3 linked regions of the Schizosaccharomyces pombe genome follow. The main gene of each other region encodes a partner of the protein of the gene in region 3 in a complex. Each region holds a gene or a part of one and is shown on either strand. Other genes may lie near its edges.

The links.
Region 1: mrp5 (region 3) and mrp2 share a complex: the UniProt entries of both Schizosaccharomyces pombe proteins name them as parts of the mitochondrial small ribosomal subunit.
Region 2: mrp5 (region 3) and rsm24 share a complex: the UniProt entries of both Schizosaccharomyces pombe proteins name them as parts of the mitochondrial small ribosomal subunit.

The regions. Positions count from the first base shown.
Region 1 is NC_003424.3:2,504,232-2,507,626, forward strand, and holds mrp2 (mitochondrial 37S ribosomal protein uS14m), read right to left. Parts: upstream 1,654-3,395; 5' UTR 1,614-1,653; coding exon 1,359-1,613; exon of another isoform or gene 1,310-1,358; coding exon 1,263-1,309; exon of another isoform or gene 1,222-1,262; coding exon 1,206-1,221; 3' UTR 1,034-1,205; downstream 1-1,033. Other genes in the region: AP-3 adaptor complex subunit Apl6, read left to right, coding at 1-1,033; mitotic spindle checkpoint WD repeat protein Bub3, read right to left, coding at 2,068-2,708, 2,754-3,075. UniProt on the Schizosaccharomyces pombe protein: Component of the mitochondrial ribosome (mitoribosome), a dedicated translation machinery responsible for the synthesis of mitochondrial genome-encoded proteins, including at least some of the essential transmembrane subunits of the mitochondrial respiratory chain.
Region 2 is NC_003424.3:562,173-565,574, reverse strand, and holds rsm24 (mitochondrial 37S ribosomal protein mS35), read right to left. Parts: upstream 1,650-3,402; 5' UTR 1,406-1,649; coding exon 1,111-1,405; intron 1,102-1,110; exon of another isoform or gene 1,023-1,101; coding exon 541-1,022; 3' UTR 502-540; downstream 1-501. Other genes in the region: phospholipase D Pld1, read left to right, coding at 1-407. UniProt on the Schizosaccharomyces pombe protein: Component of the mitochondrial ribosome (mitoribosome), a dedicated translation machinery responsible for the synthesis of mitochondrial genome-encoded proteins, including at least some of the essential transmembrane subunits of the mitochondrial respiratory chain.
Region 3 is NC_003424.3:2,283,967-2,287,926, forward strand, and holds mrp5 (mitochondrial 37S ribosomal protein uS5m), read right to left. Parts: upstream 2,048-3,960; 5' UTR 1,828-2,047; coding exon 879-1,827; intron 752-878; coding exon 537-751; 3' UTR 516-536; downstream 1-515. Other genes in the region: rpl901 (60S ribosomal protein L9), read right to left, coding at 1-243; SPOM_SPAC4G9.19 (DNAJB family protein), read left to right, coding at 3,411-3,960. UniProt on the Schizosaccharomyces pombe protein: Component of the mitochondrial ribosome (mitoribosome), a dedicated translation machinery responsible for the synthesis of mitochondrial genome-encoded proteins, including at least some of the essential transmembrane subunits of the mitochondrial respiratory chain.

The sequences.
Region 1 (3,395 bases), 220 kb from region 3:
CCCCTCTTGTCTTAACACTTTATTGCTGTTACTTAAATCACATAATAGCCTTATCGTGACAGAAGCTGCCTCTTCACTTCGGCTTCTCATTCATAATGATCCTAAAGAAATATATCTGCAGTATTTAGCTGCAACGTATGAAACTTTGGAAGTACCGCGGGCCAAATCCGTTACACTATGGCTTATTTCGGAGCATATACTAATCATACCGCGACTAGTCCCTGATGTGCTACGCATTGCTGTTAAAACTTTTGCTGATGAGACATTAGAAGTGAAGTATCAAATTCTCGAATTATCGGTAAGACTATATGTTTTGTCTCATTCTGAAGAGAAGCAAAACGATTTAGAGTCAAGAGATGATGTCGTGTCACTACTTTTTAATTATGTTTTATCTTTGATACACTTTGACATGAGTTACGATTTACGAGATAGAGCTAGGTTTTACAAAGAACTAGCTAGTACACCGAGTTCTGAATTTACTAGGCGCATCGTATTGGAAAGCAAGGGGAATAGTCAAAAAGAAATTATTGCTTCTCGGGACTACTGCATTGGTACCGCTAGTTTATGTTTGAATGAAGACGTGATGGGATATGAGCCAATCCCTAACTGGGCTGATGTCTCTGATTTACCGCCTGATTCTGTCCGAGAAGGTATCAAGGATGTTTTGCCAATAAACCCTCATACGGGAAATATTTATTCAAACAATTCACCGGGTGTGAAAGCATTATCTTCTGATAACTTTAAACGTGATTTTGGAGATACTAACGCAATTAACCGTCCAAAATTTGTTGGCCAGCAAACGCTTGAAGAATTTTATGCTAGTGAAACTTCTGAAAGTTCTGAAGGAGAATATGAAACATCAACCAGTGAAAGTGAAGATGAAGAAACGGATGATACTTCTCAAGAGGAAGACAACGAAAAAAATAGTACACCTGATGAAGATACAGAGAACAACAATACCAGTTCTATATCTACTAAAAGTATAATGGATAGGCCGCTCACAGAACCTGAACCTAACTATTGGCAATCATAAACAATTGATAATGTAAATATTCAGTTTTGGAATGTAATCATGCAAATAATTGTACTTCATTTAAACGGCGAATAAATATTAGCTAATAATAAACATGATGGATTCACGGAAGATAATTAAAGCTTTTTATTTCAATAACGCTTATCATGGATTGAAATACAAACAACGATTATTACCATGATGCCTTGCTGAATGGATTAGTGACAAAAGTAAAAATGCTTATTCTTACCGAACTCCGGGTAATTTATTAGCTAGTGCTTTAAGTCGAAAAGGAAACTGAAATAGTCAGCATCAAAAATGCATTTATATGACATTATAATCGTACCCTTGCAAGTCCAAACGCACGAAATACACCTCGGCCTCTACCTGTCTCAATACAGCGATTTTTTATTTTTGTAGGATGTGCATTAGTCGGTAAAGCCTCAATCCGCTTTTTGGCTTCTAAACGCACCCGAAGAGGTAGCTCAGGATTTCTATATATATAGAGATTGCTTTGACGTTCAACTTCGTGTTCAGCAAAAAGTCTCCTACATAATAAATCACGAAATGCTTTATGCTTCAGGTGGCCCAAAGCCCTCATATTTTTTATTTCTGGTTTAGAAGGCTTCTCTGTTGTGTTCAAATTGTGAGTGTATTCTCAGTAGATGAAATAGTCAAAATAAATTACGAACTGCGCTAGCGATCTGTATAATTATAGTTATTTTAATAACTATAAACAATGTGAATAAGAGAAACAAAGTAAATTAGATAATTTCTACCAAATAGTGTCACATTGTTTTTATATTAAGTATTTTTAATCGTAACCCGTTCTTTATATAAATATGGTCTTGCGTTTATATTAATTGCTTATTAACTTAATATATATAGTGGAATAAAAAATAATAAATACCGTAATTATCACTTTGAAGCACTGAGGAAATATTGAACATTTACAACATTAAATAGGAGTGCTTCAAATAATATAAATTTCATATGTATGCAGTAAAAGAATCTGCATAAGATTTTACATGGATGAAGCTTTTTGATGAGCGATTTCATGACTTTAACTTTGGAGCTGCAAAGTTGGATTCCAAAGCATGAACATAGATATTACCAGCGGCTTCTTCTTGAGCACAAGTGGCAATTGCAAGCATGCTTCCGTCAACATTAAAAGAAATAGATGATATATTGATCTTTGAAGGATTTAACACTCTTAATCGTTTTCGGACTTGTATATCCCAAAACGCAACAACGCCATCTCCCCCAGCAGTTGCCAATGTTTGATGAATCGGATGAAATTTTAGGTCGTTAACTGGATAAACAATATCGTAGTCCTTTTGTATCTGCCGATGGCATTTAAAGGTAAAATTTTTGCTTTGCGCTTCCTGAGACGGGTTAATATATTCAACAGATGTCCTTCCCTCAATGCTGGAAGAAACGAATCCCTCAAAATTTTGGTTACAGCAAACACTTCGAGTCATATACTTAAAACTAGAAGGACGTCGCTGAAATGGAAGTTTTAAATTTCGAATATCGTACACCAAATTTTCTCTTTCTGAACAGCCTAGAACCAATATATTATCTCTCGAGCTACTTGCAAAAATTTTTTTTCCTATATCCTGTCCCTCGACAGGTTGCTTTACGCGAACATCCCAAACACGAAATGATTTGTCCCAAGACCCACTAATGAAACAGTCTAAAATGTTAATAGAATAGCTGGCTAATAAAATATATATCTTACTTTCCAAACGCAACTTAGAAATGCACGATACCCCCTTACCGTGGTTTCCTAAAAACTCATGGTTTCGCGTATTAAGATCGAGGGTAGTAACTGTCCCATCTAAATTTCCTACTAAAGCAGTTTTTTCATCTGTATATTCTAAAGAAAGAATAGGACTTGATAAATCGTATTTCCCTAAAAGTTCGGGATTTTCCGAGATTTGATAATGCAGTAAGCTACCATCCCAGCACCCTGCAATTAGTTCGTTTTTGACAGAGGGTGAAAATATTACACTTGAAATCCCGTCTTTTGAATTTTTTAGTAATGTTTTTGAGAAATTCATGGCAGACTGACAGATGACATGAAAAAGGAGTTTGGCGAGGTATAGGCCTTTAAATGTTGCTTCAAAAGGACAACGTCGAAGTTCGATGGTAATTGACCGAATTTTACGAAGATGAATTTCCAACGATGCCGATTATATTAGGTGTTAAACATAAATACTTACGTTTTCATACGCGCAAATTACTGTTTCAGCTTCTTTTCAACAAATTTTGACAGTCTGTGCCTCACAAGTATCTAAGATAAGCGAAGCGAATTGCTAATAGCTGTGTAAAATAAATTGCAAAGGAGCTGATTCTGACAGTTTAAATATGATGTAACAAC
Region 2 (3,402 bases), 1.7 Mb from region 3:
ACATATTTCGATGTGTACCGGATGACGAGATGCTAACGTGGGAATCATATAATGAGTGGAAAAAATATGGAAAACGCTTTAAAGAAGAGCAAGCCCGCTGGCGTCAGGAGGAGTTGTCAAATCTACACGAAACTCATGAAAAGTCAGAGAATGATCCAAAAAATCCAAAGGCTGGTTCCCAAGGTAGTGGTAACACGAGTGCAAGTGAAGATTCGAAGACAGAGAAACCAAAAACCCGTACTAATAATGGTTTACAAGTTCCTGACAAACGTGTAGTTTACGACTTACTACGTGGCATTCGGGGACAGTTGGTAGAACTTCCATTAAAATGGATGTCTACCGAATCAAACGCAAGAAATTGGCTCAGTAGTATTGACAAAATCCCTCCGTTAGAAATTTATGATTAGAGAAACAGTACCTTTTATACTACAGTTTTATTTCATCTTAATATAGTAATGAGAAGGATTAATTCCTTCAATATTAGCTTACATTATAGACTCGTTAATTTTAATAGTAACTTAAACAAACTTTCCTTTCATATTATTCATCTGTAGTTGCTATCGATTCTCGTTCAAGTACTGTATTATGTGATTGCTTGCCAATCGTTGTTTTCTTTTTAGAAGTGAGTGTAGTTGCGTCTGCGAGCCATTCCTGTGGCATCCGTTTATCACACTTCTTGTATTTCCAATGGCCAGTATTCAATGGGACATGTGAAAATTTTTCAGCATTTCTCTTCGATTCTTCAATGAGCGAAGTTAATATCTTTATAAGATGATATTTATTTTGTAGTGCAGAAGAATACTTGTCGGAAGATATTCTGACTAAATCCTCCTCCGGATTATATCTTGGTCCAACCAATAATCGTAATACATGTCGTTGTTTCTCCTCTAGCAAAGGAATATTCGTAACTTTAAATGTAACAACGACCTTCGGATTCATTTTCTCAAACGAAGACATTTGGACATCAGATTCAAACCTAAAGATCTGGCTATCAGCAGGCTTTTTAAAAGACTGTGTGTAAGCTATAATTGTCAGAGAAAATGGAACATTAAGCATATTAAAGTGATTGTGAAATAGAATTCCTAAGGTAAAACTACCCAGTAAACTTACGCGTAAGTCCAGGAAGCTCATAAGCAGCTTTCCTATACAATTCACGTATGACCTCGTGCTCTTGTATTTTCTGCCATGATAGATTATTGGAATGGACGTTATCATCAATTGTTTTCAATTCCTTCTCGTCATGAGGCTCGATTCCAAAAGGCGCTGACACATAAGCACTTCGCTTAAATCTTGTAAAATAGAAAACAGAGAAAGCTCTACTAGTAGCACAAAAGCTTGATTTGGAAAGTTGCCCGAGGAATATGGCATCTGCTTTCAATAAAGATAAAAGGGGATTAAAAGCCATTTTATAACCACCCAAAACACTAAATATATGTAATATTTGTATTATAAAAAAAAATAAACCACATTTAACGAATGCGCAGTAGTGTATGATACCGGATTTTATATTTTCTTTGAAACGAAAAGAGTGGCCGTTATAAATGGAAATCTGAATCTAACAAAAACTTTTTTTCTAAAATTTAACAATCCAAATGCTCAAAACAATTAAATAAGCTACAAAAAGGTACTTGAAGGGGATAGTGAAGAATGTATAAACATTGTTGTCCTTGACTTGACTTCGTTGTATATAATTATAACACACTAAATCTTAGTAGTTAGAACCAGTAAAAACCACATAATAGACTGGAATGAAGGTTAGTAACGTAAAATAGCATCGATTCTACTCAATTGCATTTATAACATCTATTGAATAAAAACACCTAATAATACTTTCAAGCTTTTTTTTTTCTTAGGAATTTAATAGCACTTGCTTCCCATCCTTTTTTGGCATTCGCTGTTTAAAAAGTGTGTTAGTTATCCTTATATTTTGATTTTCGTAAGCAAGACTACACTACGTTACGCTGCGTATCACTATATGTCATCTGTTAGGATAGATTTAAGATTCGTTTACTAATAATTGCTGATAACTATTCTTTTGAGTACTTGTTTGTGTTTGATCATGTTTACTCCAAAAGATTATAAACAGAGTACATCTGAACAGAAACAGGTTCGTTTATATGTTAATTAATGGCAGGTAACAACGTAACCCATGTATAAATACTTACAACAAATTGCTACCCACATCACACCTATATATAATATGATATTACCGATCACAATGAAAACTCACAGAAGTCAAACAAGATACTACAATGCGCAGCTAGATAATATTGCACTTTCATTACTAGCGCTATTTAGTAAATAATTAAAAGAAGTTCGATTCAATTGTAAGTTTCATGAGAAAACAGGAAACTCCATTTAAGAATGATTTAAATATAAGAAAAAGACGCAATGTTTTTAAGAAAATGGGGTAAACAGAGTGATGGCAAGTCATCTGCTCAGCGTCTAGTCATTATTATTCCCTGTATGTGTTAATTCAAGCCTATCAAAGTAAAATAAAAAATTTTTTACGAAATAATCTTTTATTGAACTTGATTTAAAAAATCTGTATTTTTTATTTAACTATATTATTATGAACGTGAAATAGTGCTTAATTGGGTTCTTTAACCGTGATGTTTACAATGTTTGTATTGTATTACTTTTAAGTTAAGTAAAAACTAAATACCTTGACCCACATAACTTGTTCTTTGCAAAAATGTTAAGGAGCTGAGTATTTTAGAGTACTCAACACGAATGGAAGTCAATGCATATAACAATCTGTAGACAGTAATATTAGACTGTTAATGTTTACATGAGTCATTTGTAAAAAAAAAAAAAAAAAAAAAAAAATTATAAAATAATTGAATAAATAACCTATTACAGAAATCTTCAGACAACGATATTTTATTAATTTATTCCATTGCAATATTGCTTTAATACAATTTGGCTTGACATTGTGATGGAATTGACATGGATAATTTAAAATAATTAATTAAAAATTTTGTTGAAATTAATTGACTATTAACAATTCATGAAGTATCGTAAATCTGCCCTGATAAAATAAAATTTAAAAAAGTGTTGAAAGTGTTAATGGCTTTATAATTTGTAAACTTAGCCGTTTATTAAGTTTGAATATTGATAATTATTGAAGAATAAAGCATTATTTCCATTTTTTCTTCGTTGATTCATAGCTTTCATCAGACCTCTTCTGACCAAGGTTGACTAATGTATACAATTTGATTTTAATGACAATTCTTTCTTCTTATTAATAGTTTTTGCATAATTTTTCCCCAGCTTCTTATTTAATCCATCGAATATTTCAAATTTACTAACCCATCATCATTTTACCTTTAGATATTTTACGAGGAGCAACGCGTTACTTTAGCGGTTTAAAATTCTTTAGCTTTATGAATCAGTGTAAAT
Region 3 (3,960 bases):
ACCGATAATCATGTTGTTAATGATAGAATAGACGGAACGGATGCAAGCATTATGTTTGCGAGATCCGTGCCAGACAATGAACTTAATAGTATTGCCTTGCTTCTTCATTTCAATATCAACATGGCGCAAGTTTTGCTTGAGAGTACCACGAGGACCGGTAACTGTAACATTACGTGCCTTAATGTCAACAGTAACACCCTTGGGGATTGTCAAAGTCTCGTCCTTGTATATATCACGTCCCATCCTGCAAAGTGTTGGTGGTGTCGTTAATTTTGTCTAAGATAATTTCCGTTTCGAAGGCCTGTGACTGTACTTCTTAGCTAGGGTAGGGTTGAGTGATAGGAGTTTTGTAGTACGTTATAATTAACGAGCTTATTCAGACTTTAATGATGTACGATGTTTAAAGAAATAATGATACAAATTGGATGTAGATGAATATCTTGCACAACAAAGCTGCACAATGGTTTCCAGAAGTAAAGAATTAGAGTACTGACTGCATTGAATATTTATCTATACAAAAAATAAAAGTCACTTTATCATGTTTGTTTGTAATACTCGCGTTGTACATCAACAAACTTTTGGCCGCGCTCCATGGCAATATCCTCAGGGAGACGTTGACTTTGTAAAGCCTCAAACATCGCCTTTACAGTATTCATTCCATTCTTAGAACCAAGTATCTCACCACTAATATCCTTTATACCTGCGCATCTACAGATCTCATGAAGGATGGGGTTGCATCGAAGTCCAAAACCTATATTTAGTTAGTAAAATTGTCATTGCAGGACAAGTAAACATGTCGAATAAAACTAATCGATAAACAGAAAACAGAACTGTCTAAGCTTTTAAAAGATTATTTATAGAACAAATGAACAACATACCGGCTGGACGAGATCGTAATGTTAACCGGACAGCATGAAATTTTTTATGAATAACGCCATATACAGTCCTTTTATCGTAGCGAGGTATGTAAACCATATTTTTAACAGCACGTCCACATGATTGTTTGTATGCTAATGAATAGCTTTCGGCTTTTCCCTCACCAAAACCAGCAACACCATTTCGATTACCGACAACAGTCAGTACGTACATACTGGCAATTTTTCCCTTACGGGTTTGATTAACAACACGTCTTCTTACAAGGGGAACGAACATTAAGGCTCTGAGATCTGACTTTGGGATTCCACTAATATCCGAGAGAAACTCAGCGTCACTTGTGCTCTTACCAGCATCGCCAAAATCAAATGGGGAAAACTTTGAAGAAATTTCAAACGTGAGGTCATCTTTAAAATCCTCCCACTTATCAGGAATTTCCCCGTTAGACTCCTCCGATCCTAAATGAGAATATCCATCTAAAGGAGTGACATATTTATCCAATTTTGATACATAGTTCAATTTCAAACCAGTTTGACGTGGTGCTGTAGACTTTTGGAGTGCTTCAATGGCTAGAGGATGATTACGAATGTAGTTTTCATAGAAAGGAAGGTGATCTTTGAAACGAGACTTTAACTCTTCGATAGAAACATCTTCATTAATGTCGTTAAAAAGCTTGCTGAGATTTTCTACCTTTTTTGGTGATAATGGGGAAGTATTTGACGCAGTTTTACCTTCAGATTCACTCTCTCTTGGTATAGACGATGAGTTAAATTGTTCCTTGGTTTCATTCTTGGATGATTCCTCTACGGATTTTTCGTTTAAATTGGAATTTAATTCCTTTTTGGGATCATTCTTAAAAGAGTTAAGATGTACGGTAGTTTTATGGAAACACCGAAAATAAGTTGGCTGCCGCCTCGAGCCAATTTGTAGAAAATGTGAAAATGAGCGTAACATCGTAATTAAATCAATAAAAAAATTATTTTTTAAGTTATGATCATGAATTTTTAGTGAACCTTAGCAGTGAAAGTAAGAATATTTCCTGGAATCGCTTTATAAAAGCCGAACCACCTATATATTTATTGCACTTTGCAACCAAGGGTGTCACTAACGCTATAAAGACGGGAGGAAAACCCTAAGAGATACTCAGTCAAAAAAAAATGCTATCGATGAGTTTAAATGCTTTTTGAATCGCACAAATAAATTTATAACTGTCTCAGCCGTGAAACTACTTACCACTTTGGCATTGGTTGTAGTTAGGGCGCTTCGGTACGATTCGCTACTGTTCCTATTTAGTAGTGGTATGGACAAAGTACATAAAACCGCACATCACTTTCTAGGATCAGCTCGTCTTGTAATTCTGATTTATCGTCTGGTTAACAACTCCTTTTTTTCTGAGTTCTCTCTCTTGATTTCCTTTCATCATCCTCCGTTTACAAAGAACGCTTCTAAGGCACCCATTTAATGTAGTACATTCGACTTCATAAATATGAATACGGTGCACGAACTACAAGCAAATATACGTAGTTAGCGATGCAATGAACAATTTGAAATAGCTCATTATATTTGTAAACAAGCGGCGGCTGAAATTGTACATGGAAGAAATGAATTGAAAAGATCACTGATTTCAACCTAACTATATGATTAAAAGGATACATGATAGGCAAAAGAGAAAAAAAAGAATCTTTTAAATAAAGCAAAATAATAGTCACTTCCATATTATCCTCAAAATTACTCTTCGGCAAATTTTTTTAGTACTTAAGATTCTAGAAATTTTTTAAAAGAAACAACAATTAGGGCAATCAAGATAGTTAAAGAGCAAGCGTGGACCAAATTATCTTTTAATCCACGGCAAACCTGTAATTTTGAGAATTACGAACGGAAAATAAATAACGTATTTCCAAGGTAAGTCACCAATGCGACGCTATTCAACGTTGTAGGTCAAAGAAACGCGAAATGCAAACAAACAAAAAACACCGTGTAGCAAGAATTGTGTTGTACGATTGAAACTAAAGATCTTCTTTTTCAAATCTATCGATAAAAGAATGATGCGTCTTTAACGAAGGAAAGGCGTCCTTGAAAGGCAATAAAAAAGAATTTCCAAAATATTTCAATTCGTTTGCGATTAAATTTTGTATTTTCTTAAAAGAATATTAAAATAAAAATAAGTTTGTTATTACTAAATACCATTACTCTAAATCTTTACATTTTCCTGCGTTTCCTTCTCATTCGTTGGTGCAGCTCAACAACTCTGCGATTCGCCCACGTAGTATAGCAAGGGCACGAAATAGGGATAGCAGACGGATATGGTACCAACTCTTGAAATATTTACCAAACCAGCTTCCTTTTACATATCCAGCTTTAAAACTATATAGAACCAGAGTATCTTGCGGTTTTTACTTTAAAAAAAGCAGCGCTCGATCAGCCGGTTTGCATTCAATGAAGCAACATTGATATCTTACTCAGTTGAATATTAACTACATAAAAGCTTCCATCGTATCCAGAAACTAACGTCGCCTCTGTTGGAACAAGTTTTGAACATGTCAAAGATATTTTTTCGGTTAAATCTTGTGCGAAATAGCTTATGGAGGCGAGCAGCCAGTTTTACTTCCTATTCCGAATTGAAGTCATTGACGCCTTATGAAATTTTGGAACTACCTCGTACGTGTACGGCTAATGACATTAAACGAAAATATATTGAGCTGGTTAAGAAGCATCATCCTGACAAAATGAAGAATGCATCTCAGCTAGCGCCTACGGAATCTCCGCCAGAAATTAATAAGCACAACGAAGAGTACTTTCGTTTATTGCTGGCAGCCAACGCTTTACTATCTGATAAGAGACGTCGTGAGGAATACGATAGATTTGGAATTCACTGGAATCAGCCGTCTCATCCTACACATCCCTCGCCTCAAAATTGGTCTCAAGCGAGGTATCCTACCTATTCAAGATCTCGTCGTTCTGCTGGTATGGGGTCTTGGGAAGAATACTACTACAATTCCTATGATTATATGAATGACCAAAATGCTTCTAATAAAAACAGAAAATTTGACGATGAAGGCATGCTTGTTTTTGCAGGCATATTGTCTA